4 linked regions of the Elephas maximus indicus genome follow. The protein of the gene in region 1 purifies or fractionates together with the protein of each later gene. This does not show direct contact. Links are inferred from orthologs where the notes say so. Each region holds a gene or a part of one and is shown in the gene's direction. Other genes may lie near its edges. The genes, in order: PLK1, WDCP, BICD2 and SATB2.

The links.
Region 2: the proteins of PLK1 (region 1) and WDCP purify together in Homo sapiens (affinity purification with mass spectrometry; 4 studies listed by BioGRID and IntAct, with this or other methods). This does not show direct contact. The link is inferred for Elephas maximus indicus from reciprocal best matches to the Homo sapiens genes PLK1 and WDCP.
Region 3: the proteins of PLK1 (region 1) and BICD2 purify together in Homo sapiens (affinity purification with mass spectrometry; 6 studies listed by BioGRID and IntAct, counting the BioPlex papers as one, with this or other methods). This does not show direct contact. The link is inferred for Elephas maximus indicus from reciprocal best matches to the Homo sapiens genes PLK1 and BICD2.
Region 4: the proteins of PLK1 (region 1) and SATB2 purify together in Homo sapiens (affinity purification with mass spectrometry; 3 studies listed by BioGRID and IntAct, counting the BioPlex papers as one, with this or other methods). This does not show direct contact. The link is inferred for Elephas maximus indicus from reciprocal best matches to the Homo sapiens genes PLK1 and SATB2.

The regions. Positions count from the first base shown.
Region 1 is NC_064830.1:83,878,359-83,886,077, forward strand, and holds the start of PLK1 (serine/threonine-protein kinase PLK1), read left to right. Parts: upstream 1-4,588; 5' UTR 4,589-4,709; coding exon 4,710-5,117; intron 5,118-5,857; coding exon 5,858-6,026; intron 6,027-6,778; coding exon 6,779-6,923; intron 6,924-7,719. UniProt on the Homo sapiens protein: Serine/threonine-protein kinase that performs several important functions throughout M phase of the cell cycle, including the regulation of centrosome maturation and spindle assembly, the removal of cohesins from chromosome arms, the inactivation of anaphase-promoting complex/cyclosome (APC/C) inhibitors, and the regulation of mitotic exit and cytokinesis.
Region 2 is NC_064830.1:41,584,093-41,591,766, reverse strand, and holds the start of WDCP (WD repeat and coiled-coil-containing protein), read left to right. Parts: upstream 1-4,655; 5' UTR 4,656-4,747; intron 4,748-7,674. Other genes in the region: peptidyl-prolyl cis-trans isomerase FKBP1B, read right to left, coding at 2,536-2,572.
Region 3 is NC_064827.1:111,157,041-111,165,167, reverse strand, and holds the start of BICD2 (protein bicaudal D homolog 2), read left to right. Parts: upstream 1-4,927; 5' UTR 4,928-5,082; coding exon 5,083-5,322; intron 5,323-8,127. UniProt on the Homo sapiens protein: Acts as an adapter protein linking the dynein motor complex to various cargos and converts dynein from a non-processive to a highly processive motor in the presence of dynactin.
Region 4 is NC_064824.1:97,962,282-97,969,562, reverse strand, and holds the start of SATB2 (DNA-binding protein SATB2), read left to right. Parts: upstream 1-4,196; 5' UTR 4,197-4,216; intron 4,217-6,739; exon of another isoform or gene 6,740-6,979; intron 6,980-7,171; exon of another isoform or gene 7,172-7,281. UniProt on the Homo sapiens protein: Binds to DNA, at nuclear matrix- or scaffold-associated regions. Thought to recognize the sugar-phosphate structure of double-stranded DNA.

The DNA.
Region 1 (7,719 bases):
TCACTCATTTATTCATTTAACAAGTAATTATTGAGCCACTGTTGGATACCAGGCACTGGCCTGGGTTCTAGAGATACAGTGGAAAATAAAAGCCAGCTTTTGCCCATAGGGATCTTGCAGTTGAGTGGGGAGAAAGCCAAGCAAACAGAACATAGAGTTCTCTGATGGAGGCCTGAGGCGCCCGTCTTGAAAGTCACCATAGTGGTGAGGAGTGTGGGCTCTGATCTCAGGCAGATCAAGTCCCAGCCCTGCAATTTACTAGTCTTGTGACTTTGGGCAAGTTAGCTCACCTCATGAAACCTCAGATTTCTTATCCATAAAATGGGGAAGGGACTGTTAGGGTGATTTAAATGTATTCACACGTGTAAAGTATGAGTATAGTGTCTGGTTCAGGGTTACCACTCAATAAATGGTAGTTAAATTACTATTAATATTGGGAAATGATATACCTAGAAGGAAACCCCTTATATTCTCCATTCTTATATATTTTTAATTTTTTTTCTTAATTTCAATTTTGGTGAAAATATACACAGCAGAACATACACCCATTCATCAGTTTCTACATATTCAATTTAGAAACATTGGTTATGTTCTTCACATTGTGTCACCATTCTTGGTGTCTCTACCCATGTTGTTTCACCAACATTGAGTTAGACTCACTACCCACTAAAGTTCTCATCTATGCTTTAGAGTTACTACTGGCAGTTTGATCTCATGTAGAAAGTTCTTTAAAAAAGCACAATGGTCATGGTGAACATCCCTTACTCACTTAGCTAAACAGTTGTTTAGTTTAAAGATGACTTCAGAGGATAATTTTGGTTCACGGTTTGAAAATTTTCTCAGAGTGATAGATTCAGGGTTTCCTCCAGTCTCAGTAAGCCCAGTAAGTCTGGATTCTATAAGAATATACAATTCTGTTCGACATTCCCCCCCGTGATGGTTAATATTGTGTGTCAGCTTGGCTAGGCCATGATTCTCAGTGTTTATATGTGATCGCTCCCATGATGGAATCTACTCTGAGTGGCCAATCAGTTGAAAGGGAGTTTCTGTGGGGATGTGGCCTTCATCCGAATATAAGGAGATGTTCTGGCTTTTTGCTCATTCTGGATTCTCCAGCCGCATTCTGTTTGTCTGACCTTTTACTCTTGGGACTTGAGCTATCAGCTTATCTGCAGATCTTGGGATTCGTAGATCTTCACAGCCTGAGAGCGGGAGTCCCGCTCTTCAGCCTGCCTATCTTGGGTTCACCAGCCCCAGCGGCTACGTTAATTGAGAAAAGCCTCTATTCTGATCCACAGACTGGGGACATTCCAGCCTCTATAGTCTCGTGAGCCTTTTCCTTGATATGAATCTCTCTATATAAAAAAAAAAAAAAAAAAATTTTTTTTTTTTTATATATTTATACACTTTACTGGTTTTGCTTCTCTAGAAGACCCAGGCTAAGACACCCCACTTTTGATCAGGATTCATCTCTTGATTCCTTGATCAAAACGTTCAGTAACGGTAGCTGGCACCATCCAGTTCTTTTGGTCTCATGGCTGAGGAGGCAGTAGTTCATGGAGGCAGTTAGACCTGCAATCATGTTCCTGTCCCGATTCCTCAGTCTCCTTCTTCCTCTGCTGCTCCATTTTTTAAAAAATTTTAAAGTAAAATTAAGAACATCTTGCCCTTTATAATTGGTCCGGTACAAAGAAGAGTTGGTGGAAAAGAACTCATTCTTCCTTGTTTTGCATCTATAGGGTGCTAGGCACTTAGTACAAAACATTTAATCCTTCCAACTGTCAAAACAGTAGGGATTTTTGCAACCCATTTTACAGAGGAGGAACCTGACATTCAGAGAATTTAAGTAAATTTGCCCAACATCACACAGCTAATAAATGGCTGAGTTGAAATCAAAACCAAGTCTTATCTGGCCTCGAAGTCCATGCTCCATGCAGCTTCTCCAATACCCTGGGCCTCCAAAGCAGTTGGCTCTGAGGACTACACTTACTGCCTTGTTGGTTAACCCTTTGCTTTCCTTAGGTTTTTGCTGGTGGGTTGTTCCCCTCTGACCTGGATCCTGAAGTGAGAAGAGTTGGCACAGGGCATCTTGCTTCCTTGAGGAGAGCAAATGAGCTGGTTCTGGATCTCCCAGTTCACTGGGCATTAGGAACATAGGGCATGGAGAGGAACATCTTTCAAGAAAAGAGACACAGGAATGGAATCCATGTCCTTTCTGGCTCTCAGACCTTGGGCCTGTGGATTTTCTTGGTCCTACCAACTTGACTTTTTTCAGCTATAGTCTCCTCAACCTTTCGTGTCTCTTGAGTGTGGTTTTTGTTTTCCCATGGGAGCAGCAAGAGCCTGAGGAAGCAGTAGGGACAGGAGAGGGGGAGAATAAGGAAATATGAGAGGCCTAGGAACTGCCCTGGTGGTACCGTGGATACAGGGCTTATTTTAATTTGCACCTAAAGGCATAACTGAGATCCGTACTGCAGGTTGGTCTCACCCTGAGGCCTGGGGTCCCACTGATAATAATTTTGCTGTAAGGAAACCTTAGCCAAGGGCCAAGGGGGTAGACTGTGCAGAAAAGAGTTAACACAGCAAGACCTGAGAGTGCTAGCCTCAGAAAGCCCTGTTTGCAAAGCTGGCCCCTGACTGGCATCTAGGACCTTGAATTTTGGGAGGGCTGTCACCATTCCCTAAGTGATAAGGATGAGTCACTGTATCTAAACTGTTGGGGCAAACAACATGTTTTATGCTGAACACCTGCTTTCTTTCTGGGAGTCTGAAGTTTTGGTATGTACTAGGCAAAGAGTGTCCATGTGACCAACCCCCAGTAAAAACTCCAGACACTGAGGCTCTAATGAGCTTCCCTGGTAGACAACATTTCACACGTATCGTCATAACTTATTGCTGAAGAGCTAAATGCATACTGTGCAACTCCACCTGGTTCCCTCCGGGCTTTGTCCCATGCCCCTTTTCCCTTTGCTGAGTTCGCTTCATGTCCTTTTGCTGTAATAAATCATAGCCATGAATAAAAGTATATGCCAAGTCCTGTGAGTCTTCTAGCAAATCATTGACTGGGAGTGGCTTTGGGGACCCCCAACACAGGGCCCCAGGGGGGCTTCAGGGGTGTTGGTAATGTTCTCTTTCTCCGTCCGGTTGCCAGTTACATGGGGTGTGTTCAGTTTGTGGAACCTCATCGAGCTGTAAGTTGTGATACGTGCACTTCCTCTATGAATATATTAAACATAAATAAAAAGTTCAAAGAAAAAAGGTGGTTACGCAGGATTAAAAAAAAACTTTTTTTTTTTTAACTTTTTATTCTGCTCATTACCCCTTTCACCCCAAGCATTGTGTTGGGAGCAAGACATGGAGTAGAAAAGACAGCATCATTGTCATTGTCGCCTGGTTTAATTGGGAGGCAGGTAAAGATGTGCTTACAAGATGGTTGATTCTTGCAAACTTTATCAAGGACATCAGAGGGTGCTAAGGGGCTACAGAAAAGGGGCTTCTAACTTGGGTATATGGCCATTCCAGGGTTGCCACTCACATACCTACAGAAGCCAGACAGGCAAATGGGCAAAGGCGGAGAGGTGGGAACTGGCAAACTGGGAAGACATGCAGGCCTACTGTTGCTTAACTTCTGGGTTTTTTCGGGAAAAGCCACAAATGTGATTTTTTTTTTTAATTTGAGCTCTCGATTTTTAAATCCTGTAAATGAATTCAATTTTTAAAAAGTGGGGAGGCCAAACGAAATACCCCTGCTGGCCAAATCTGGCCATGGCCTGTCGGGTTGCTAGGCATTCATCCCATCAGCCATTCCTCCCTGTGACCAACAAATTGAGCGTACACTTTTTTTTAGGCATTGGGATAGCAGGGAGCAAGCCAAACAGCTTTCTTGCATAGTGGGTACTGGGCTTCTCAAACTAAAGTGTGTGTAGGAATCACCTGGGCAATCTTGTTGAAAGGTGGCTTCTGACTCAGGAGGTCTGGGGTGAGGCCTTTCTACCAATGCTCAGGTGATGGTGATGCTGGGTCCCTGGACCAGACTTTGAGTAGCGTGGCTCTGTAATGCAGAGGGGCTCAGGAGCAGCTATTTATTTGGAGGGGGCCTAGGGGACTTGCTGTGAAGGTACATTTGCCTGGCAAGCATTCTGTTTTTACGTAGTTTATTTGGGGTGGCTTGGTAGAGAGCTGATGACCACGGAGGCGGGTGCTAAGCTTGTCCCGAGCTACCCCTTGGCTCTGCCAGGTCTCTACTCTTATAGCGCTTACGTTGTGGTAGGCGGGGTGGGAATGGAGGACGGGGCAGGGGGAGGGGTGGTAAAGGAACGTGTTAGGAAAAGCCTGGACGACGTGCATGTGAATTGCAGGAGCTCCCCCAGCTGCCCCCGAACGGGAGACACCCTGAACTCCCCTCCGCAGGCATTCCCAAGCCGAGTTTCCAAGGCATCCCACGTGTGTGCTGTCCGCGCGTCCCTCCCAATCAAGTTTCCTTCCCTGCTGAGCGAAGGTTTAAAGGCGGCGGCTTTGCAGAGCGCTCCCATGGTGCCGCGCGGTGGGCGGGTTTGGATTTTAAATCCCCGCGGCCAATCAGTGGCGCGCAGGGTTTTGTAACGTTCCCGGCGCCGCGTTTGAATTCGAGGGGAGCGGAGCGGAGCGGAGCGGAGCGGTGCGGAGCGTCTACCCAGACCCTGGTAAGCCCGCTGAGCAACTTCGAGAGCATGAGTGCGGTGGTGACGGCAGGGAAGCTGGCACGGGCACCGGCAGAGACCGGGAAGACCGGGGCCCCGGGAATTGCGGTTCCCGGGGCTACGGCGTCCGCCCCGCCGGCGAAAGAGATCCCGGAGGTCCTAGTGGATCCTCGCAGCCGGCGGCGCTATCTGCGCGGTCGCTTCCTGGGCAAGGGAGGCTTTGCCAAGTGCTTCGAGATCTCGGACGCAGACACCAAGGAGGTGTTCGCCGGCAAGATCGTGCCTAAGTCGCTGTTGCTCAAGCCGCACCAGAAGGAGAAGATGTCCATGGAAATATCTATTCACCGCAGCCTCGCCCACCAGCACGTCGTCGGCTTCCACGGCTTTTTCGAGGACAACGACTTTGTGTTCGTGGTGCTGGAGCTCTGCCGCCGGAGGGTGAGGGTCTCTGACGGAGGATTGCAGTTGCTTGGGGGCCGGTGTTGGGGCGCTGGGGGCCCTGAGCTGCTGGGAAGGACTTCCTGGGGAAGGAGCGCCCGGGACCCGCAGCTGCTAGGGAAGGGTTGCTGGGAACCTCTAGGTGGGGCAGGGGAAGGTCTCGGGTAGGGGGTGCTTGGCACTTGAGGCTGCTTGCGTAGGGGGTTAAGTGGAGCCTGAGTTTTGTTGCTGCTGGGGAAGGCAGCTCCTGGACGCGAGGTGTTTGGAGAGGGGAGAACTCTGGTAGTGAATAAATACTAGGGCCCCCAGAGTTCCTATGGGAGGAGCCCTGGGTAAAGGGCGCTGGGGACCTGGAGCTGCCGGAGTGGGGCTGGGGAGGAACAGAAGGGCTGGAGCCAGACTTCGGAGCTTCCAGGGGAGAGAAAGGAAAGAGTACTGGGGACTCTGAGCTTCGGGAGTGGAGCTGGAAGAGGCGTCCCAGATAAGGATCTTGGGAGGAAGGCGCTACTGGGAGAGAGTGCTGTGAGCTGTAATAGCCAGGGTTAGGGCATGGGTCCAGCTTGGGGTTGTCCTGAAGAAGGAATGCAAGAGGGGATAGGAGAGGGAAAGAATCTGTCAAGATCCTTCCCGTATACCTTTGCCTGCCGCTGGGGGTCCAGGGTCCAGTCCTGGGCTGCCTTTCCCTGGCGACCCCACATCCTCAGTGCCACCTCTCCGTTCCTCCTCCTACTGGGGCCTAGTCCCTTCTGGAGCTGCACAAACGGAGGAAAGCGCTGACAGAGCCTGAGGCCCGCTACTACCTGCGGCAGATAGTCCTTGGCTGCCAGTACTTGCACCGAAACCGTGTCATTCACCGGGACCTCAAGCTGGGCAACCTCTTTCTGAATGAAGACCTGGAGGTGAAAATAGGTGAGGTGCTGGGCCTGTAGGGGTGCCCTGCACCACTAGAAGCGGGGAAGAAGGATGAGGAAGTGGAGGGAGGGAGGAAACAGGAAGAAGGCAAGGGAGGATGAGGTGATGGGAAGTCTGAGCTGTTGATTCCCTCTAGAGTCCCTCTTTAGCCCAGAAATTTAAAACAAAGGGCCCACAAGCCAGTATCTTGCCTGTAAATGCATTTTGTGCCCCTTCACAGTATTTTTTTTTTTTTTTTGTAAGAATTAGAATTAGTTTTTTTCACTTGGGAGGCTTGACATAAAAATTTGGATTTGGAGCTCCTTTTAAACGATTAGAAGCACCAGCAACACAGGGACAGCATTCCCTGAGGGCAGCCCTTTTCTGGGCTGAAAGCAGCTGTCCCCTTTAGAATCCCTCTGGTTTGCCACAGTCCCTACCCCTCCCTATTACTTCCTCAAACTTACCAAGCATCAGTCATGAGGTTACTTGCTTGATCCCTGTAGGTGTTTGAGTTTTGCTGTCCCTGTCTTGTTCCCTTTTAGAAGCATAGCCCTCCTTTTTATGGGGGACTGGGGGAACACTGGGTGGCATCATCCTGGGGTCAGCAGATGGGAGGATTCCTGGGCAAGCCTCCCTGGGTGCAAGGAGTAGAGACTTGTGGGAACAAATGACTGTGGGGCTTGATGGTTGAATCTGAACCAGCTGTCTGCATTGACAGCTGGCAGAGACTGGCATCTGAGCATCCCCTCTTCCTCCTTCTGTCCCAGGGGATTTTGGACTGGCCACCAAAGTTGAGTATGACGGGGAGCGGAAGAAGACCCTGTGTGGGACTCCTAATTACATTGCTCCTGAGGTGCTGAGCAAGAAAGGGCACAGTTTCGAGGTGGATGTGTGGTCTATTGGGTGCATCATGTAAGTTGGGAGCTGTCTCAGGACCCATCTGGCCTCAGTAGGGGCCCTTTTGGGCATCTTACCTGGCTGACCTTCTGGGGACACTTCCCCTTATGGAAAGGCTGTTCCAACGGACAGATGTTCCAAAAACAAACCCTAATTTCCCTATCTTGTTGCTCTGTAGTATTCTGTAAGATTCCTGCAGCCTGGGCCATGAGTCCAGGAAGGGGGAAGGGGCACCAGTTGGCATGTTTCCATAACCTTGCTCTAGATCCTCACTACTCCAAGTGGGGTCCACAGACCAACAACATCAGCATCACCTAGGAACTTGTTAGAAATGCAGACTGTCAGGCCCCAGACTTAATGAGTCAGAATCTGGAGTTTAACAGAATTCCCGGTTGATTTTTATGCACAATAAAGTTTTAGGAACACTGATCTGGAAAGCAGCACTGGGTGAGAGGAATCAGGCCAGGTGTTAGGGCTGGCAGGAGGGGGTTCCTGTGGTCTGTCTGGATCAAGACCATCAGGGAGGAGGCTGGGTGGTGGGCAGAGGTGTGGGCCTTCTCAGAGGTGTTAGCTTTATTGTTGTCATTGTTGGCCTGGGTACTAGAGAGTTAGAAATGAGTTGTAGCAATGGCTTTCATACTTTGCAATAGAGCTTTTTTTCCAAATGAAAATGTCAAGCCTTCTCTTAAGTGTAGAAACTACTAAATGTGGAGCTGCTTCTATAGGAGTTGGGAGCTCACATACTTCAACCTGCATTGTACAGCTGGCAGCCTCTGAGGCCCTTCCACAGGGTCCTATGTTACTACTGCAA
Region 2 (7,674 bases), about 42 Mb from region 1:
AAAATAAATGCTGTAAATCCTAACTTCCACACCTGTGGTTTTGGAGTGGAAAAACTCTATGGGGCAGTTCTACTCTGTCCTATAGGGTCGCTATGAGTCAGAATTGACTCGACGGCACTGGCGTGGTGCACTGGTTAAGAGCTACGGCTGCTAACCAAAAGGTCAGTAGTTCGAATCCACTAGCCACTCCACGGAAACCCTATGGGGCAGTTCTACTCTGTCCTATAGTGTCACTTTGAGTCGGAATTGACTCACAGCAATGTTTTTTTTTTAATGCCTGTGATTATAACCCCACTGGGAATGGGTTGTCTTTGTTATGTTAATGAGACTGGATTAGTATAGGATGTGTCTTAAATCAATCTCTTTTGAGATATAAAGAGATTAAACAAGCAAGCCAAAGAAGCAGAGGTGGGGGAAGAGAGATGCTATGAAGATTGCCCAGTAGAAGCTAGAAAAGACAAGGACCTTCCTCCATAGCCAACAGAGAGAGAAAGCCTTCCCCTAGAGCCAGCACCCTGGATTTGGACTTTTAGCCTCCTAAACCATGAAAAAATAAGTTTCTATATATTAAAGCCACCCATTTGCCATATTTCTCTTACAGCACTAGATGACGAAGACAGGGTCCAATATACTTGGAGACTGGGAGAATCATTAAAACATTTGATACCTGGGGGAGAGGAATGGTCAGATACGCATTTTAAAAAAGACTTTGGGCTGTGGTATAGAAAATTAGTGGGGTGGGGAGGGGAGACTGAACGGGGGGGAGGGGTTGTGAGACCGAAGCGGGGAGGTGAGGCTGAAGGGAAATGAGGTAAAACTGAAGAGGGGAGGTGAGTCTAAAGGTGGGAAGTGAGACTGAAGGGGGAGGTGAGACTGAATGGAGGAAGTGAGACTGAAGTGGGGAGGTGAGACTGAAGGGGCTGGGGAGAGGATGAAGGGGAGGAGGTGAGGCTGAAAGCAGTGAGATGAGTTTAGAGTCTGTGCAGAAATGCAAGTGAGAGATGATGGTGGCCTGACCTAGGGCAGGGCCTGGGGGAAGGGATCCTAGCAATATTGATCAGGAAGACTTGACAGGACTTGGTAAGGGGCCTGACCAAAGACAAGTGTCCCCAGTATGGGAGTATTCTTGTTGCAGTATTAACTTGTATTTTCCCCTCCTGGCTCTTTTGTACTTCCTGACTGAGGGGTTTACAGAGAGCTGACAGCAGAAAGCCAAATCTCCTCCAGGCTTTCCCTAAACATCTAATCCCCCTCAAGAGAAAATGTTCCGAGTCCCTGGCCAAGAAGGGAGGATAAGGAGAGAACGCTCTAAAGGCTGAGGCTTGTATGAGCCAGGGAAAGAAGATGAGGCCTCCACCCCATCCAAGAACTCTATGGCGGTGCCCTGGGGGAGGGAGGCTGGTGACCAGGACTCAGGGAGATGTTCCCTGGGGCCCAGAAAACGAGGTCCCCATCATGGGCAAAGAAACCTATACCCCACGGGTGACTCGAGGTATCATCTGGGACTTCTAGGGACGACTGTTTTTGAACAAGGAAGGCAGCCTGGAATCAAGAGACCTTCCTAATTTCATGGGGTGGGAATGTCAATAATGTCTAGGGTGAAATACGCCCGTGAAGTCCCGCAGAATGGCCGCTCTAGTCTGAATTAAACCGTACTTAAGAAATAAAGAAATGGCTATTTCCTACACACCCAAACCCAATTATTCAAGGATGTCACCTGAGGTGTCTGGCTTGGGAACGAGAGTCAAGGTACAGGGAACACAGAAAGAGGAGCGCTTGGGGGTGGAGGTGGGGGTGGGGAGGGAGCGTAAGTTCTGTTTTGGACTTGCTGACTTTGAGGTACCCCGTGGGAAGTCTAGGTATAGGTTGAGCAGCAGCCGGATACATGGATCACTGTGAACTCAGGCGGGAGGTCTGGACGGGAGGCTTAGATGTGGAAGCCATCGGTTTCCAGATGATAATGAAAGCCATGAGAGTGGACAGGATCTCCGGAGAGGGTGAGTGGGGCAGAGAGGATAAAGCGCGATCCAGAGGTGGAGGCGGGAGTGCTTCTCCTTTCCCAGTCTGGCTCTGTCCCTACAGGGTCCCACTGCCCAGTCCGCAGTGACCCGCTCCACACGAGGCCCTGCGTGGGGCGCATTAGAAGGGGGAGGAGTAAAGACCCTTTCCCAGGTTTTCAGAGCGCACGTAGCACGGTAAGGAAAGCGGGGCTAAAACCCAGCCCTGGAAAATGAGCAGCAGCGGATAACCGAGTGGTTCCCTCGGCGGCAGCCAGAGGCCCCTGGGGCGGTCACCCGGCGCAGACCCCAGCCTCTGGGCTTCCACCTTCATACCCCCAGGTGAGCCAGCGCGGAAGGGGATGGCGGAGAATCTTCTTCTAGACTCGGAGGAATCCCGATCGCGGTCTCCTCCCGCCGCTCCTCATCCTAGGCCCATACCCCTATCGGCACCCTCAGCACCAAGCGAGTCAGACCCCCGCCCGCCCGGCCCCGCCCTGGGACCCCTCCCCCTCCCCCCGGCTCCACCGCCCGGTACCGTCTCCCGGGGAGATGGTCTCGATCTCCACGCCCATCGTGGTCCCACAGGCCCCGCCTCTGGGGGGGTCCCCGCTGCTGCCCCGACCCCGGCTCGGCAATGGCCCCGGCCTGCTGGCTCTCCGGCTCGCCTCCCCGCCGCCACTGCAGAGCCGGAGGAGGTGCGGCTGGAGTCGGGACCCGCGCGGGGAGGGGCCACGGGAAAGGGGGCGGCGGGGCGGAGCCGCGCGGAAAGGTGGGGTTCGCCGGGGAGGGGCCCTGGAGAAGGGACCCTGACGTGGCCGCTCCCGAGCCTGGCTTGGCTAAGCCTCTTCAACCTACTGGGTGGGGAAGGCGGAGAGGGACGCACACAAGCACTCTCATTGCACCCAGCCATCCATCCATCCCTCCATCCATCAGTTCAATACATATTTGTTTAGCACCTACTGTACGCTAACTGGAAACCCTGGTGGCGTAGTGGTTAAGTGCTACGGCTGCTAACCAAAGGGTCGGCAGTTCAAGTCCGCTAGGCGCTCCTTGGAAACTCTATGGGGCAGTTCTACTCTGTCCCATAGGGTCGCTATGTGTCGGAATCGACTCGACGGCAGTGGGTTTTGGGTGTGCTAACCAGGAAACCCCGGTGGCTTAGTGGTTAAGTGCTACAGGTGCCAACCGAGAGGTCGGCAGTTGGAATCTACCAGGCGCTACTTGGAAACTCTATGGAGCAGTTCTACTGTCTTATAGGGTTGCTGTGAGTTGGAGTCAATTTTACGGCAAGGGGTTTGGTTTATTTATTTATTTATTACTCTATGGTAAGCTCTGGGGCGTCAACTCAGTCCCACAGACTAGGGGGAGAAGGCAAGCAATTAAACTAATATTTTAATTAGATGTGCTCACTGTCCTGGAGTTCAGAATGTTATGGAATTGCCAGAGAGGTACCTACCCTAACTGAGGATGGGAGTGGGGGATTAAGGGAGGCTTCCTGAATCTATAGAGCTGGGGATAGGGGAGAGGGCGTCAGCCATTGCTGGCCCTCCGGCACGCCCCTAAACCCCTATTCGCTATTCTGTGTAGTTCGGCTCCGTGCACATTTATTGGGTTTCCACTTTTCCAGGCAAAGCGCTGCGCCGTGGCGATGCCAATTAAGACAGGATCGCTGTCCTTGAAGACCTAAGTCTGTAATCAGACAGTTACAGGGCGGAGTGATTGAGCTCCTCCTCCACACCAAACCCGTCACCTTCACCCAAAAGAGATCAGGCAATCCGGAAAGATGTTTTAGGAGGAGGTAACAGTTGCCTGAGGTGTGACTGGGACTTTTAAAACTTTTTTTCCTCCTCGTTATTTCCTGCATTGTTCTAAAAATTTAAGGTAAGATTCTGACAGGTGGCGCTGGAAGGTCGGCGTTCGGAGAATATCCTGAGTAAAGGTGTCCAGAGTGGGACCTAGAGGTGTTCTTCCTCCATTTTTCCTACACCCCCCTCCCCCCCACCACAATGCAGGTGGTTAGGTCAGAGACTGCTGGTCATCAGCGTCACTGAAGGAGGACTGGCTGTGTTGGTCCAAACTCAAGAAAGATGATGGTCAACTGTACTGTGGGAGTCAGTACCTGAAACTCCCTATGGGCTGCTCCGAGGAATGGCTCAGGGGTGTAGCTGGTCTAAGAAGCCTAGTGACGCGGTAGGGGCTGCCGCCTTTAGGGTAGGCGTAGAACTGAGATTTATAACTGATCCTTTCAAATTAAGCGGCTTCAGTCGAAGACACTGGTGTATGGATAAGAACATTTTTCTTCTTTTTTTTTATATTTAATCAGATTTTAAAGAGGTTCCCGACACCCCTACCTTTAAAAAAAAAAAAAGGTTAAGAAACTGTGGCGTCGACCCTAGGCTCCTGGACTCCTTCTTAGTCTAAGAGAACCAGCGAGTAGTGGGAAACAGCGCTAAGAGAAGGAAAAACTGTGGCTGGTTTACGGTCCGTGGAGTTCCACGGAGACTACAACTCCCAGAGATCCGTGCGGCAAAGCCTGAGCTGCTTGGCCGATGGGAAGGACCCTCTCCTAACGTGACACATGCAAAAGCCAATAGGCAGGGGGCACTGCAGAGCTTTCCTGGCACCGCTCACATATCAGAGCACTGGAGGCAGATATTTCCGGCACCTGCTCCGGGCTTCGGATCCGCGGTCTGGTGAAGTGGGGCGGCCCCGGGGTGACTGGTTCTGTGCAGACAGTGAGACCAAAGGTATTTTGTCTCCACTGCTGCCCGTCCTGGCTGATGTGGGGAGGCTGCGGGTGGGCTGGGAGAGAGGTGGAGATGTCACCGCGTGAGCGGCATAGGGGGGACCCAGGTGTGCGGAGAGGATGGGCCGAAAGAAGCGTCCCGCGTGGGGAGGGGCGGGAGGATGAGGCTAGAGCTGGGGGTGGTTTTCAAGGAGTGAGTATGTTTCCTGTGACTCATGAATGTTACTTTTGGGAATATATCCTAAGGAATATATATATAAATATAAATATATAAAGAACACACTTCATTCATGCACAAAGACCTGTATCAAAGTGTTACTTATAATAGGATAAAGTTGGCGACAGCCTGGGTGTTTCAGCAGTGAGAGTTCAGTGACTATTAAGTGAATATTAAGTGACCTCAAAATATAATTTGTAAAATTTTTTAAATAACATGAGGAAGTGCTAATAAATAATAACCCAAATGTTAAGTGAAAAAATGTACGATATGATTGAAAAATTTAACAACCAAAACCTATACAGAGAAAAAAGTTGAAAGGATGCAGTCATGATTTTCTTTGGATGAATGGATTTTTATGAATTTCTCCTTTTACTTTTCTAAACCCTCCCCCCCCAAATTAACTGTAAATAACTTGTAATTCTTTTTGAGTTGAAACATAATAAATTTAGAAACTTAGAAAAACAAGGGTATGTACCTCTGTTTAAACCTCCTGGAAATGCTCTAATACACCTAAGCCCCTTGATTTTCACCATGAGTTGTCTTTAAAGAAGATTACGAACAGCAATTAAATGGTTATATATTGAGCAGTAGATCCTGGTTCTGACCACCTCTTCTCCTGGTCTTTTCTCTCTCTAAAACACCCTATCACAGTGTAGAAGTCATTTGGCTAGGCTTTGTGGGGAATCAAAGATAAATAAGATATGGCTCCTGATTTCAGAAAGCTCCTAGTCTGCCTGGGGGTTGAGAGACCAACAGGTACACAGCTTCAAGAAAATTGTAAAATTTTTAAAAAAGAATAATAGGGAAACTCTTGTTCCAACCTTGATCCTCTTGGCCTTCTGATTTTTTCACAGGGAGCTGCTTTGGTTTCAACTACTAACCCTATGCCAAAAAAAAAGAACCTATTGCCCTGATTCCATTCTTACACATAGCAGCAGTTACCAGTTAAGAGCTTTAACCACTACACCACCAGGGCTCCTTAACGCCATGCCAGTGACTCCCAAATCCTTACCTCTAACTGCCTAAGATACACATACTACCTCACAGACTTCTTGAATGAAGCACATCTAATACTAAACTAATCACACACAGCCATCTAAACTTGGAAGCATGTTCTTCCTTTAGCTTTGCTTAATGGTTCAGCAGTTTCCCAAGCTAAAAATCTCCATTTTATCCTTGATTTTTCTTTCTCCCTTACCACTCATATTCTAGCTGATATTATCTATTCCATCTGCCTCAGAAATATCGCTTGAATCTGGTCCCTTTGTCTACTGAAATAGCTGCACACTTGGTTTACTTTCTCATTGTGGCATTCAAACTATTCCATAGCTTCTTATTAAACTTGGCAACTTTCTTCCTTCTTAGGTCCATCTTGCACATTGTCACATGAATGTGTACTGGTTTCCCCAAATTCCAAATTCCTTAGCAGGTCCTTTATGATGGGGGAGAAAAGGTCGGAAAGGTAGACCAATATTAAGTGATATAAAGCCCTAAATGCCTTGCTAAGATATTTTGAAATAACTTATTTTTTTTATATACTCTAGGCTGTGGAGACCTATCACAGGTTTTTGAACAAAAGAGCAAAATAATTTAAAACTTTTTTTTTTTAAAGATAATTCTGTCCAGCCACACATATTGTCTAGGAAAGAGAAGAGACTGTTACCAAGGAGACCTCTCCTTGTTCAGTAAAATGGGAGAAGTGGTCAGGACCTGGATTAACACAATGTCACGAGGAGTGGAAAGGAATGAAGCATTTTTGTAATTGCTGTTAGGTTTTTAGGAAAAATATGCCAAATTTCTTCTTGTCCCAAAGATGAAAATATGAAAGTAATTCTTCTAAAAGCCTCAGTAGCCTTTATTATTTTGTTTTCCCTTATTCACAAATTCTTAGGTGCTACCCCTGGCCACACACACCCTCAATGGCATTAGACTGAATTGGGTGGCCTGTTGTTATAATTGGCCCGTAGGAATTTTCTCTGCCCAGGAAGATGGATCGTGCAGCATTTATCAATGAAAGTCTTTTGAAAAGTGCATGAATAGATCTTAGGAGAAAACATATATTATACAGACCAGTGGGATAGAGATTGCAGTTTTTTTCATTAGTAATGACAGGGGACTTATTTTTCCATCTAGCAAGCCACTGCAGAACCACTTAATCTTACATCAGCGAGAATGCATAACGTCTTTTTGCAGAATCTTATTAGTAAATGATTCTAAGAGCAAGGATGAAGCTAGCAAGGAGGTATGAGAAATAATTCACAGATAAATTAAAAGCAAATCACCAGGCAGTGTGGTAGAGAATACATTTCTTTGGATTTAGAGTCTGAAGACTTCTCAAGTTTTGTCTTTAACACTTACTACTCAGTGATTAAATAAAACAAGGCTGAAAAATGTCAGTTGGATTCGGTGACACCGATGGCACTGGTGGCTTGGTGAGAGCTCTTTTGGAGAGATGGGAATAGACTCGGATTGGAGTGGGTTAAGAGAGTAAGTGGTGAAGAAATAGCACTGCAAATTCAGACAACTCTTTGATAACTAATCAGATTAAATATGTTTGTTGATCATTTGTGTTTTTTTGTAAATTGCCTGTGGATATTCTATGGCCTTTTTAAAATTTTAAAATTTAGGATATTTGCCTTTTTAACTGGTTTGTAAGAGCTTATTATAAAACTTTCTTTGTCAAAAAATAAGTAAGTAAAGAGGATCCA
Region 3 (8,127 bases), on another chromosome or scaffold:
TTGGCTGAGCTATTCAACATCTCTTCATTTGTTCACTCCTTCCACGAACACTGGCGCACATGCTGTGGGTGAGGAAAGATCAAGGCCTTGCCAAGACCCCTGCCCTCATGGACCTGATGTTCTAGTGGGGGATACAGACAGTGAAAAGGTAAATAAGTACAACATACAGTATATTATGGAGAAAAATAAAGCAGAGAAGGGAAATAGGGTACAGGGGACTTTTGAATAAAAAGCTGAGTAGAGGTGAGGAAGTAAGCACTGTCAGGTAGAGGGAACAGCAAAGGTCCTTGCTGGAGGTGCAGCAGGGAGACTAGGAGGCTGGAGGCGAGTGAGAGAGGGAGAGCGTGGCAGAGAGGAGGTCAGAGAGGGCGAGAGTGGTAGAAAGGTCAGAGAGGGGTCAGGTCAGCAGGGCTTTGGAGGTTGCTGCAGAGTTGACTGATTCTAGGAGGGTTTTGAGCAGAGTAGGGACGTGACCAACTTGGGTGAAGAGAATAGACTCGGTAGAGGGTGGGAGGGGGTGAGGGCAGGGACACGAGGTGTCTGTACAGTCCAGTTGGGAGGTAATGGGGCTCAGACCAGGGAGGCAGCAGTGGGGAGAGGGGAGAAAGATCTGATTTCAGTTCAGTTTGTTCTGAAACTTGGGCACACAGCCTTTACTGACAGATTGAGTGGTGCGGGGAGTACAAAGTCAAGGGTGACCACAAGGATTCTGCCCTGGGCCTCAGTGTTCTCACTTTTGCAATGGATGGAGTAATCCCCACTTCTCAGAGTGCAGGAAGGATTAAACGAGACAATGTGTGTTGAGGACCTGGCAATGCTGGGCACGCAGCTGTCCGCTCCCTGGGTGAGTGCAAAGCCACCCTATTCCTCTTGTCCCTGTGAGACCCTCTATGATGGGAGCCGTAGACCGGCCAACTTCTGGCCATCCTGTGGATCTCTGCTCAGGTGTCACTCCCTCAGGGAAGCCCTTTCTGATCCCCTCTCATGACAATGTCACATGTCATGGCTTCCAGACTACTCCAACACAGCTCAAGCCTTGACACCAGAGCAGCTGTCCTTCTTGCTGGAAGTACCAAATGGTTGACAGGTCCCTATGTCCCCAATACCCAGAAAAGTCCCTGCCTGTAGCCTGAATGTGTGTGAGGCCTACCCTGTCCCCTTCCAGCCACCACCCTGTCTTTAAGTTCAAAGCTCTGTGGTCTTTCCCTGCACCAGATCCCCACGGTCCTTTCCCTTGCCCCCTCAGGTCAATAGCATATGAAGACTGGGGGTGAGAGTAGCAGGCATTGAAGTCAGGCTACTGGACTTTACCACTGACGTATGACCTTGAGCAAATCACTGATTCTGGGAGCATCAGTCCTTCCTCCTACACTGGGGAAACTCACTCAAACAAGGCTCATTCTCTCTGCCCTTCTTCGCCCTAAGATCCCTTCTACTTAGGCCAACAATGGTCCCAGCTTGCCTAGGCCTGAGGGGTTTCCCAGGATGTGAGACTTTCAGTGCTAAAACCAGGACAGTCCTGGCAAACCAGCATGGTTGGTCATCCTACTACTACCACAGTTGACCTCCTGAAAAAGTATTTTTAATTTCACAAATATGACACATTCATTTCATAAAAATAAAACATTAAATGACTAAAAGAAGTCAGGGCTCCTTGAAGAAATGGCTGATTCTAAGGAAGGACAAGACGATCCTGGAATAACTTGTGCCAGAAAGTAAGAGAGTGCTTGAAAATGACGACATGTTGAAAGGACACAGGAGCCAGCTTGGAGGGGCTCTCATCAGCCAAAGAATCCATGAATCCATACTGGTAATGAATTATTGAGAAGGGAAATATCTTCCTTATAGTGCAAAGCCATCTAATGGAGAAGGAATGACGGAAAGAAGAAAGCAACTAGTATGGTAATAATTAGTTCAGACAAGACATATTATCAATTAATGGTAAAACTAATGGGTAAAAGTTTGAGTAGTAGCAGGATACTGGCACAAATCTCAAAGGCACAAGTCTCATATGATACTAATTCCATAACAGTAACTGGACAGTGGAGAAACCTGGCAGACACCACCTTAGCTGATCTAAGTTAACATCACCAGTAATTGGACAATTTAAGCATTGTGTACCTCCAAATATGATGTATGAAGAACTCAGCATCGCTTCTGTGACTCTACTGCCAAAAATGTGTAACCTTAATCTAACCGCAAGAAAACCTCAGACAAACCCAAATGGAGGGAGTGTGTAAATAACTGGACTTTACCTGACAGTTAAAATGAATGAAGTGGAAAGAGCCCCAAGACATTGTTGAGTGAGAATAATAGTGTTGGATTTTTAGATTTCTAATAAAAACATAGGAACGATGTTCTACCATATTCTGTGGAAGTGTATATGGACATAAATGTCGAGGAAACAGGCTGCAAGAGTACAGACCACAATGATGACAGGTTAGCAGAAGGGGTATCATCTGTACTCCTTGGAAAGGTCAAGGTCATGAAAGACAAAGACTGAGAAACTTCCAGATTAGAGCCGACTAAAGGGACATGGATCATAACAAATGATGGGTAACACTGTGAAGAATGGGAATTCCAGAACACTTAATTGTGCTCATGAGGAACCTGTACATAGATCAAGAAGCAGTTGTTCGGACAGAACAAGGGTATACTGCGTGGTTTAAAGTCAGGAAAGGTGTGCATCAGGGTTGTATCCTTTCACCATACCCATTCAATCTGTATGCTGAGCAAATATCTGAGAAGTTGGACTGTAGAAGAAAAGGGCATCAGGATTGGAGGAAGACTTATTAACAACCTGCATTATGCAGACAGTTATGCTTGCTGAAAGAGGACTTGAAGCACTTACTAATGAAGATCAAAGACCACAGCCTTCAGTATGGATTATACCTCAACATAAAGAAAACAAAAATCCTCACAACTGGACCAGTGAACAACATCATGAAAAATGGAGAAAAGATTGAAGTTGTCAAGGATTTCATTTTACTTGGATCCACAATCAACAGCCATGGAAGCAGCAGTCAAGAAATCAAGACACATTGCATTGGGCAAATCTGCTGCAAAAGACCTCTTTAAAGTGTTGAAAAGCAAAGATGTCACCTTGACGACTAAGGTGCGCCTGACCCAAGCCATGGTATTTTCAATCGCATCATATGCATGTGAAAGCTGGACAATGAAGAAGGAAAAGCGAAGAAGAATTGACGCCTTTGAATTGTAGTGTTGGCGAAGAATATTGAATATGCCATGGACTGCCAAATGAACGAACAAATCTGTTTTGGAAGAAGTACAACCCGAATGCTCCTTAGATACATACTTTGGACAGGTTGTCAGGAGGGATCAGTCCTTGGTGAAGGACATGGTGCTTGGTAAAATAGAGGGTCAGTGGAAAAGAGGAAGACCCTCAAAGATATGGACTGACACAGTGGCTGAAACAATGTGCTCAAGCATAACAATGATTGTAAGGATGGCATAGGACAGGGCAGTGTTCTGTTCTGTGGTACACAGGGTCGTTATGAGTCGCAACTGACTGGATGGCACCTAACAACAACAACGAAAGAGACATGGTAACTGAATGCAATGCATGATCTCAGATTGGATCCTGGATGGGGGGGGAAGCTATAAAAGACATTATTGGGACATCAAAGAAATTGGAATATGGAAAGTGGACAATAGTACTGTAAATCTGTTGCCACTGAATCAATTCCAACTCATAGCAACCCTTTAGGACAGAGTAGAACTGCCCCATATAGTTTCCAAGGAGTGGCTGGTGGATTCAAACCTCCCACCTTTTGATTTAGCAACGGCGCTCTTAACCGCTGCGCCACCAGGGCTCCAATAGCACTGTATCAATATTCAGTCTCCTGAATTGGATAATTGTACTGCGGTTATGTAAATACCTTTATTCTTAAGAAATACACCCTGAAGTACTTAGGGGTTATGAAAGAAAGTCATAGTTGGGGCTAAAGTTCTCTTTGATCCCTACCCATATACCCGTTCTGCTAACCTGTCATCATTTTGGTGTGTGCTCTTGCAGCTTGTTTCTTAACATTTATGTCCATACACGTTCCCACAGAACACTGTTCCTATGTTGTTAGGATTTAGAAATTCAGTACTGAACGGTTTATTATGTACCTCTGACTCGAGAATGTCTCGGGACTCTCTCCATCTCATTTAACTGTCGGATAAAGTCACATACCGGGCCTGGCTACCTCCGTTTTTTTCGTCCCAGACCCTGTCGCCGTGCACCGAAGTTGGTTCGTTTTTTACCTCCACAAACAATGCGCCTCCTCGAGCTCGGTCTACGAATTTCTCAAAGATGGCTCAAAGCGCTGACACAGAAACATTTCAAAACACAACCGCTATTTGCTCTCCACACCGGCGGTCAGAACTCACCGCGCCCGCGCATTCTTGGAGGAGCTCACTTAACCCTCCCAAGAACCCTGCCAGGTTTCCTTAGAAGCTCCACGGCACAGATGGGAAAATCGAGGCTCGGCGCGGCTGAGCCATTTGCCCAGGTCATGCAGCTCGTGTAGGGGCCACACGGCGCGGGTATCACCGACCCGCGAAACGCCCTCCAGGCCAGGCTCAGCGAGAGCTCGGTACGTGCAGGCGCCTACGGGCGGACCCGGCGAACACAAAGCACCGGGCCACCGCCTTCTGCCTCGGAAGGTCCTGGGGGCTGCGGAGACCCCTCCCACCGGCCCCACCGCGCCCGCCAACTCGGACCTCTGCCACCAGCAGGGTATCCAAGCCTCCAGACTCCCGGGGCCGGAAGGAAAGCCTCTTCCGCCGCTGGGCCACTAGGGTCCCGGCTCCGTGACGTCACAGCCAGAGCCAGTCACAGCTGAGGGCGGGGCGGCGCGGGGTACGATGGGCCTTGTAGTGGGCTCATGAGTGGAGACTACCATTCCCACAATCCCTCGGGCAGAGAGACTACTGCGGCGGCGCGTCCGCGGCCCGGGGCGGCCGTCGGGGATGGGCGGCGGTGACTGGTGAGCTCTGCGAGAGCTACGGCCCCGCGCCTGCCCGGCCTGCGGTGTCCGTGCCAGTCCTGGCGCGAGCCACCGCCCGTGCGCCACCATGTCGGCGCCCTCGGAGGAGGAGGAGTACGCGCGGCTGGTGATGGAGGCGCAGCCCGAGTGGCTGCGCGCCGAGGTGAAGAGGCTCTCCCACGAGCTGGCCGAGACCACGCGCGAGAAGATACAGGCGGCCGAGTACGGGCTGGCGGTGCTGGAGGAGAAGCACCAGCTGAAGCTGCAGTTCGAGGAGCTCGAGGTGGACTATGAGGCCATCCGCGGCGAGATGGAGCAGCTCAAAGAGGTGAGCGGGCCGGGCCGCCGCCGCCACGCCCTCCATCGGCCGCTGGGCAAGCCCCGCCCGATCGGACCCCCCCTCCCCGACCCGCGAGTCGGGGAGCCGGGGCTCAGCTGGGCAGGCGTCCCTTGGGACAGAGGGTACACCGACGCCGAGAGGGAGGCGGCCGGCGCCCAAGGTCACCCTTCCACTGGCAGAGGGAGATGGGTCCGGGAGGTGCTGTTTGTGGAAGAGGGGCCCAGAGGCCCCCGAGAGCCTCCTTCGCCCCAGTCGTAGCGGCTGGCTTCCGTGAGTGGGGCCGTGGGGACCGCAGCTGGACCCTCAGGACCCCGGCTGCCCGGCCCAATCCTTCGTATCCCGGCTTCTGCCCCTGCCCCTGGAGAGTGGCAGCCTGCATGGCCCATTCTCAGGAGGATTCCAGCCCAGTGGCTTCCTGGGAGCTAGGCAGGCCCCAGGATGTCGTAGACAGGACATGTGGGAGGGAGTCTTGACCTCCGCGAGCAAAGGCAGGGAAATGTCCAGCCAGGCTGATTTTTTGGGCTGAGCGGTTGTGGAACCTGTGGAGGTACACGCTTTCAGTCGGGCCATCGCCAGCCAGCTTTTCTGCTTTTGGCAGGCCTGTGGGCACCACAGGCAGAGTTAGGTTTTATAAAGTGGGGGTAATATTTTCTGCAGCGTTTTGCTGTCCTGTGTGTGTGCGTGGGTGGGTGGGTGGTGTGTGAATGCTGAGCCAAGAGCTGAGGCTGGCAGATGGAGCTGACCGGTTGGGAAAGGCCAGGCCTGAGTCTTTGTGGGGGCTGCTGTTGTGTCACCTTCGGGCAAATCACTTCCCTTCTCTGGGCGCAGCTACGTTCAGCGCGGTTTCAGCTCCTTCCTGAGTGCTGTGAGGCTGAGAAAGGCCCTGGACAAGGGGCCTGAGGGAGTCAGGGACTCGGTTTTGCATGTGGCCATCAGCGTTGACTGGGGTCCCCCCAGTGTCTCCTTACCAGGCACAGCTCCCCGACCAGGATGCACTCTCCTCACTGCCATGATTATTTCTCCCACCATCTGGGATGTAATGCTTCTCCCGACCACTTCCTGTCCCATGCCTCCTCACGGGACCTTCCTCACTATGCCATCGAGAAGGCCTCTGCAGATGTGATGGCAGGTCTGTGGGTCCTTGGGTGGGGCTGTGGCCCTCACGGACAGACCTCTGTTTCCTGTTTAATTTTCACTTTGAGGATTAGGAGATTAGGCCCCCAGGTGGCCTGAGAGTTCTCTTGGAGGGTGGTGAGAGAGTGGGAGGGGAGGGGCACCAGGGGCTTCTGGGAGAGTACCTGTGAGAACTGGGCAACCTGCCACTTGCAGTAGTTCTCCTGGGATGATTTAAATACCAGTTTTTATCCCACCCCTCCCTAACGCCCATACCCTATTGTGGGGTTGGGGAGAAGAAGTTGCTGTCTGGGTAGATACACCTGGGTTTGCCCTTTAGTGGTGATGTGGTGGTAGGCAGGGATACTCTCTGAACCTTAGTTTCTGTCTCTGCCAAATGAGTGTACAACATTGCCCACCCAGATGGGTGTGTCTGAGGATCGTGTATTTGAACAAGCCTGGCATGGTGGCTGATGTGTAGTTGACAGTTCTGTAGCCTGTTGATTTCTCTGACAGCGTGTGCCCCACTTCCCCACTGACTCCTCCCTTGGCCAGGTGGGCTCTTGACTGTGGGCCCTGGGTCTTGGGGATCCACCATACTTGCTGCTTCCCTGATGCTCACTTCCCTGCATTCCCACCCCTGTTGGCCTTAGGCAGGTGCCTTGGCCCTTTGGAGCCTCTACTGCCTCCCTGGGAGACCAGTAGGACCCTCCCTGACTGTGGAGAGGAGTAAATGAGTTAGTCCAAGCCAAGTGTGTAAAGCAAGACCTGGGCAGTGGAGGTGCCCTGTTGGTACCAGTAAATAACTGGCTGAGGGGCAGCTGGGAGCTGGGCTCCTTGCATGTCTACATGAGTCTCACAACCTCGAGGCTGACTTGTATGACATAGGGCCCTGGTGGTCTGTCTGCAGGTAGTGGAGCCTCCTCTGAGCCAGGGTTGGCTGGCACCGCATCAAGGAGAGGGCCAAGATGAAAACCCTCCTGCAAGTGCCCCAGTTTGGTGGGAGAGAAACAGGAATAGGTAGGGTAGGGGGTGACCCATCCCAAGTCTAGCTTTGCCCCCTGCTTCCCCTTCCCTGGTGGATAGTTAAGAGAGCTGGAGTGATGCTGGGTTAGGTAAATATCGTTTCCTGTCCTGAGTGACTCTGTGACTTTAGGCCAGGTACATCTTACTCTCTTGCCTCAGCTGCAGCTTCCAAGGGGACTGGTGTGCTAAGGCTGCCAGCTCCTGTCTTTGGGCAGTCTGGCAGTTATTGTGGGGGGTAGACTGAGGTTGGGGTCAGGCAGGAGGGCTTGGTGGGAACCAGTGTGTGAACCAGGCCAGGCACACGTGACGGGATTGGATCAGAGCCTGGTCTTTGTGGATCTGGAATAAGAGGGCAGAAAGGCCTTGCCACTGTGTTCCTCTCCAGGCCTACCTGGCCTAGTACAAGCAGAGCTGAGGCATAGTCTCAGACCTGAACCTGGGCTATGAGAGCAGAAGGAGGCAGGTTTGGATCTGGATGTCTTTGCTGCCTTACTGTGTTATGTTGGGCTGTTGCTGAACTTGTCCCTGATGTGGCGTGAGATAGTGCCTCCAGAGAGGGCTGCGGGTAGTTAGGTGAACTCTGGAGCGTCAGGGCTAGTATGAGGGCAGGCACAAAAAAACCCAACCAAACCCATGGCTGTCGAGTCGATTCTG
Region 4 (7,281 bases), on another chromosome or scaffold:
CGCGCAAGTTGGCGCCGCGAGCCCGGCCCCCTGTAAGGGTGCGGTCCGTGGCCGCCGGACGAGGGACAGCGTAGGCATCCCGAGCTCACCCCAGTTTTGTGTGTGTGTGTGTGTGTGTGTGTGTGTGGAGGGGGGCTGGGAGCTTTGTAATTGGGTTGGACCGGGTGAATTTACACCTTTCTGGGTGGTTGTCCCTTTCAATAGCCGCCAGTCGCATAATTTGTGTGTGTGCGCGCACGTGTGCGAACAATCGAATTTATTTAAAATAAGCCCCAACCCACCCAGTAGAGTTCTCTAAACCCAAAGTGGGGGCCCTTAAGTCCTGGCCTGCTGCCGCGAAGCGCAAAGTGATGTCCAGCCCGCTGGGCTTGGGGAAGGGCCCAGAGGGCAGGCCCCTTGGGATGGGCAGTTGCTCAGCGCTGGATCGCCTCTGTTACTGCCACCTGGGCCTTAGCCTGGTGGTCAAGCCTTGACGGAGTAAGGATGTCCGAGGGGCTTCGTGCAACCGAGAGAACAAGCGGGGCATCCTTTCGTAGAGCCCTCTTGGTTTTCCCCGCCGCCTGACCGGACCAGACAGCTGGACAGAGCGGCTCCCCGCCCGATCCTCGACTCCAGTAGAATGGCCAGGACCTTGTGTCACTTCAGAAGCAAGGGTGGTCGGGCGGGGCGCCGGATTTCTCGCCCTTTTAGGTGTGTTTCGGGATCGGCACAGAGGACCTCTCCGGTAACTCTCCGGCTTGTGCCACTTCGGACCTGCTGCTGGGGCCCGCCTGCTCTGGCAAAGGGTGGGCCCAGGTTCCATGGCGCAGTCTGCCTGCCTACTGGAGTTTAGGGTGCAAGTGGGGACTGCGGCCTGGCCTTACCAGATATTCTTTTCATTAAAGTGGTTGGGGCCGACTGCGGGCGCCGGCATTTTGTGCGCGCGAGGAGCATCCTCGGTGTTGGCTGATCTCGATGGGCCGGGAGTCTGGCCCTGCTCAGCCTCCGCCACAACATTAACCAGAGGACTGGAGCTCGGCAGACCCGCCGACTCCCGAGAGCCGCGGGCTGAGCCCAGGGCGTCGCAGCCCACGCGGTGGCGCTGTCGGGAGAGGACGCTTAGCCTCCGGGCCGGGGCCCGGGCAGTGACCTGCGCTCGGAGGTGACAAGGCCGTAAAGATGAGTCGAGGCCGTGGACTTGTCACCACCGCCTTTTGGCCGGGAGATTACAGATAGGACCGAACCCTTCCGCCCGGCTTTGTGTTTCCAGAAAGGAGACTCAGCCGGGCGGGAGAGAGATTCCCGGCTCCCAACCCCGCCGCGTCGGGGTGGGGGCGGGAGGGAGCGGCGGCCACTTTGGGGTTTCGTTTTCTCTCCCCCTTTGCTTTGTTATACCGTCGTTTAAAGTCGATTCCTATAAATAAGCTAGATTAGCAAGGCAGTCATTCTCTCGCTGCTGCCGCAGAAAGAGATCAGGCTTCTAAGCTCTTGACTCTGTAAAAGAATGAAGGGACCTCGGGAGTCCCGGGGACGTTGCTGTGTGTCGCTTGGGGAGTGCTCGGAGCCTGCAGACCCTTTGCTTTCTGGGGCCTCCTAACCCGGGCCTCAGCTAATGGACACCTAGACCTCCACCCAACGGCCCGCCTTGCTCCGCTAGCTTTCCTTCCCCAGGGCAGGCAAGGCCCACCCCCGACGCCGTCTCCCACCCCCTACATCTGGGACCCGGGTGCAGAAAGCTCCCTCTCCTCTGGAGGCAGCTCCTGGGCTGCCTTTCTTGCCTCCCATCCCGTCCTCCGGGCCTTTGCAGTGTCCCTTCCGCTAAGCCCCGACGCACCCGCTTCCTGGGTGCTAGGTTCACCACCTAACGTGGACTAGTTGCCCACCGTTCTTTTCCAATCAGTTGTCTCACTGGGACACATCTCTCCGTCTAGGCCAAAGAGGCTGGCTAGTTCGAGGACGGTAGCAGGTCCTCCACCGCCCGGACCTGCGGCGTCCCGAGGGCTTCCTGGCCGCTTGGCTCCAGCCCAGGCCCAGGAGCCGCGGGGTCAGAAGGGGCAATTGATCTTTGCCGGGCGCGGGTTAGGGTTGCCCCGCTCTGATGCCAAGGAGGAAGGTGGACCCATAACGAAGTAAGTGGCCCTCCCCGCCCTAACCCTGCCCCCCCCCCCGCCCCCGGCGCGCTCGGTCGGTCCCCAGACTCCTCCAGGGCTCGCGCCCCACAGTCAACCTGTTTTTTCTGCGCGGGTCCTGGCCCTGGGTCCTTAGCCCCTTGGCACAGCCAATTTCCAATCCAAGCCCGGTGCAGTTAAGCCGCCCGCGAACATGTAGGCCGTCTACTCTCTCCACCGACAGTCCGCCGCGAAAATTGGCTCCAGAGCTGATATGGGCTTCATTTGAGAGGAACACTTCCCTCCTGCCCTCCTCCCGCCCCCCACAGGGCAAGCCCGGGGGGGGGGGGGGTAGAGGCAGGCCTGCGTCTGTTCCCAAGAGCCGTCTAAGGCATTTGACGGTGGCAATTCCCACGGTTTTCCCTGTGCGTCTGAGTTTGGAGGCAAGACGCCGCACAACTTTCCGGTGTTCTCTGAGAGGCAGCGCACGGCCGGGAGAGCCCCTTTGCTTGGATGACCCGGCTTGAAAGCCGGGGGCCTAGGGAAGGATTGCTGGGCCTTAAGAGGTCCAGGTGGCCGGCAGGGTGCGGGGCTCCCGCTCCCGACACCCCGCACCCTACGCCCGAGCAGTTGGGCCTAGGCCGTCCGCAGCGGGAGCCCGCACAGCAGAGCATCGGTCTTAAGAAAAATCAGAAGTGTTGTCACTGAATGTGCAGGCCCTGAGAGAAAGGAGGCCTGCTGAGGAGAGAGAAATGGGGGAGACGTGGAAATAAGAAAAAACATGCGCATTTAAGCCCAGTATATGAAGATCCGTTGATTTTTAAAATAACAAATCTCCGTGTTTCTGAAAGACAGGCGACCTTTGACTAAGTGACATAAGAAAAAAATTGGGGGTGGGGGAAGGAGAAAAAGTCGGAGCAGTTCCGGATTAAAATGTCAGTGAGAAGCAAGCTGAGGGATAAAAATGTCTCCCAAATGTGAACTTTATGCTTTCGAGCACCGGGACAAAGGACAGCCGTAATGCACAAAATGCGTTTTGGATCAATATATATATGTATTAAAAAAAGACAAAAGTAATTAAAACCAATTCTTTTCTTGAGTGTGATTTTGTTTCAAAAATGGGAATAAACAACTTAGGAACATAAAGCGAAGCCAAACAAAAATTTTGAATCATCATAATTATTTATTTACTGTCTTAAAAAGTAGACAATCCTAGTGAAAGATTAAAAAATGTTAAATATCCCTTCTTGTCAAAATTAAACATACTGGAAATAGCTTACTTCAATAGAAATAAGGTCAATACAAATATTGTGCTGTAAAAAGCGTATGTAATTTGAAACAGAAAAGGCCTTTATTAGGGATAAAACCCAAGGAAAAAAACTCAGCTGGGCATACATCACAAAACTTCCTAGGATTCTCCTTTTTTAAACTGAAAGAAATTTGTAATCTGCGTTGCTAAGTGTAACTCTACAAATCCTCAAACTATATTTCTGATAATAATTGTTTTACATCTTCCTCTATGTTAAATGCACTTTTAAATAATTTGAGACTTTCTTTAACCCAAATGAATTTGTTCACTATAAAAAAAACAGATAGGAGGAAGTTCCAATAAAGAGAAAAAAAAATCAATGAATTTAAAAGTGCAGAATCTGAAAACAAACTTAATCACAATGTACACTTAATTGTACTTAATTGTTTACTTTATTTAAATCGTCCTTCTCAGGGATTTAATAATTTAGAGTCAATAGTTCCCTCAAAATATAATAAAATATTTAACTTTATGAAATATTAACCGATTAACAACACGGCTGTGTTGTTTATAAGAGTGTAACTGAAGTCTTGTAATCCTGCTGTTGACACAAGACTGTGAGGTTAGCAAAGTGATCTTCCCAAAATGTAAATGAAGACCTTCAGACAGTGGTGTTCATAAAATAGCTCATTAATGGCTTAGGATTGAATCGCTCCAACCATCCGCATCATCAGATATAATAATAGTGACGAATCAGACAGGAAAGATTCTGGCTAAACCACTTCCATTTTTTTCCAGAAGTACTGAAGTCCTAATATCACAAATCCTTCTAAGTTCCTGGACACGGATCCGGAGGAGGATTCCGCAGTTCACCACCAAGGTAAGGAAAGAGACAGCATTATCGTTCTCAAGGAATTAATAAGAAATGTGTCTTTCACCATTTTGAAAATGGGCTCAAAGTTGGACAGTGGCAGTTGGTTTTTGCCACCACCCCCCTTCTTACTTCGACGTGATATTACGGATAAAAAAAGTTTGTCGATCGAACTTACAGTTTGTTTCTTTGCAGCCAAAAACCTTTTAGCTACCACCACGGGTTGATTTATTTGAGGCTCTTTGCCCTCAGCGACTTCGAATTGTGCATTTCCTCTAACCCATTTGTTTGGGGGAAAAATAGCATTTGGGAAAGAAAAATAGGGAAAGTGAAGCGCTGCCTAAATCCCCAGGGTGGCTCCCCGAAGGTTTCCTATCTTGCTCGCTCCCTTTGTCGGCAGGGCTCTTGCTGCCTCCCCGGCGGCCTTCGGCTCCTTTGGAACTTGGTGGGCGGTGCCTGAGTGCGGGGTACACCCGGATCTGGGCGCCAAGACAGGCCGGGGGCAGGTTTCGCTTCTGGGACCCTTTCTCATCCAGAGGCTCCCCGGCCTCTCCGGCCCCTGCTTTTGAGATGACTGCGCGCCAGCAGTCCTTCGGGTAGGTGCGGCGAGTGGGTTCTCGACCCGATCTCTGGCACGCTCAGTGAACGTGGCTTCCCGCTGTCCCAGTTCTGGGCCGGAATTTCCAGAATTGCCCCCCGGAGCGCGTTTCCCGAAACCGAACTTAGTTTGGCCCTCTGGCGCCGCCGTACAGTCAATGCTTCTTAAGGGGGACTGGCGGCTAGGGCTACTAGATAGAGGGGGGAATCCTCGGGGTCCTGGATATTAGGCAAGAGCACCTAGGTGTGCGGGAGAGCTGGGAGGCGCCGCCAGCTGAGTGGACTTCGTCGGCCTGAAGGTCGACGGGACCGGCCCACATCTTCCCGCCCCGGGTTCCAGCGGCGAGTGTCCGCCAGCGCCCTAGGCGTCTCGCAGGGACTGCGGCTCTTGCCCACGTGCAGCAGCTCCTTAAGGAGGCCCGGCGGCTAAGCGGGCCCGCAGGGACAAAAGCGCGGCCAGAGCCCAGCCTGCTCGGCTAGGGCCTGCGCCACCTTAAATGAGCGCCGCGGCCGGAGCTCAGCTGCGGGCGGCGGCGGCCGCGACCGCGCGAGTCGGCAAAAGTTTGTGGCTCTGTGACCCCTGTGCAGGATCCACCGGGGACGCCCCCGCGCAGCCTCTCCCGGGGCGGGGAGGCCGGGTCCTCACCGCACAGTTCTGTCAGCGCCCGCAGTCCAGGCCCGAGTCACTTGGGGTCTCCGGAGCCCCAGCCCCGCAGCCCAAGGACAGGCAACCCTACTGTCATCGCTGCCACCGCGCCACGAGCTCCAAGCGGCCCAGGCTGTTCCGCTCGCGATGTCTCCGGCGCTGCGAGCGCTTCAGGGACGCAATCCAGGGATGCCCCTCGCCCTGCTCCCCCCACGCAGCCCCCTCTCCGGTGCCACCCGCAGCGGGAAGGGCAGTGCTCAAGCTCCCGCCGCTCGGGACACCCCGGCTATTGTTCCGGACCCGCGGGCTGTGCCCGCTGTGAGGGAAAAGCGGCCTTCCCCCTGTAGCCGGCGGCGCGGAGCGCGGCTGCTCGGCGGGCCCGGACGGCCGGCTCCGCGCCGAGGGGGAGCTGCAGGCACCGGGAAAAGTTGCTTCGAGGGGCGGAGGCGTTGGGGGGTGGGCGGAGGCGGTGGGTGGGGGAGGCGATCGCCCTCCTATCTCCAAAGTCGAAAGTACTCGGCGCAGTTAGCAGAGCCGGGAGCCGAGGCAGCCGCGGCCACCGCCTGCGCGTGGGTCTGCCGGGAGACTCGGCACCCAGTGCCTGCCTTGTCGCTGCCACCTCCGCGCCGGGACAAGCGCGCCTACGGGCTGGGAGAGGCGGCCGCGCCCTGGACCCGCCGTGAGGAGGAGGACCAGACCCCGGGCCTGGCGCCCGGGCACACCCGCCCGCCGGCCGCGGCCACTGTCTCGCGCTGCATTCCGTCCTCTGCCATCGGTCCTCAGCCGCCTGGCGTGCACGGTCCTCGCCACCCTGCTCCCACCGCCGACTCTCTCCTTCCTCCTTCTCCCTCCTCCTCCTCCCTCTCACCCGCCCCTTGCTTGTCCCTCTGCCTGCTCTGCAGCCCAGCCGCTGTTGGGTCGCCGCTTTCACAGCGATTGATTGATTGATGTTTAATTTCCTGCCAGGCGGGGCTCCCTTCCCCCCGCAACCTCCCCAGCCCTCCTCCCCTACCCCCACTCCCCTCCTTGATTGCGGTGGACCAGTCTGGCTTGGGATTAGATCTGTTCCCCCCCACCCCCATCCCGAAATAACCCAAAGACTTCCCCTACCCCCACCCCAAATTATTATTTCCAAGGCGCTAGATCTGGGGACGGAAAGGGGGAGGGGGAGAAATCGGAAACCGAGGACAACCCAAAAGGACTCACTTTGCCTGATGACTCAACGCAACTAATAATCATCTCCCTCTCAGTGCGTCTCTCTCTGCGGCTTGTCAGTGAGTCCGGCTCTGGCTGCTGGCGGCGGCGGCCGAGAGGGGAGAGGCTAGGGGTGACAGCTCCGGCGCCCGCCGCGCTCTCTCCCGCGCGTGGTCCCGGTCCTGGCGCCTTCCCGGTTCTCGGTGGCACCGGCCCGGCGGCTCCGGCCGCTCCTCCTCCGGAGCTAGCGGCCCTACGAACCCGCACTCCCGGCCAGCCGCCGCCGCTTCCCGGTTCTCAGCCCTTTCTCTCCAGAACCGATCTCCTTCCCGAAGGTGTGACAAGGCGGTCTTCAGCCTCCTTCTCTCTCCCCCCTCCTCCGCCGTCCCCTCCCCCGCTCGCTCGGGTGCCCCTTTGGAGGAGCCCTCCTTTCCCTTTCCTCCTCCTCCCCCTCCCTCCCCATCATCATCATAACAACCATCTCCGCACAAGAAGAAGACACCCTGACCCAGGACCTTAAACGTTAGGACCTGGGGGAGAGGAAAGGGGAAGAAGTAAAGAGAAAGGAAGACTAGGGGAACACTGCAAGTCAAAGCACCAGAAACTTTCCACCCTGGATTCTCTACTTTTGCTCCAT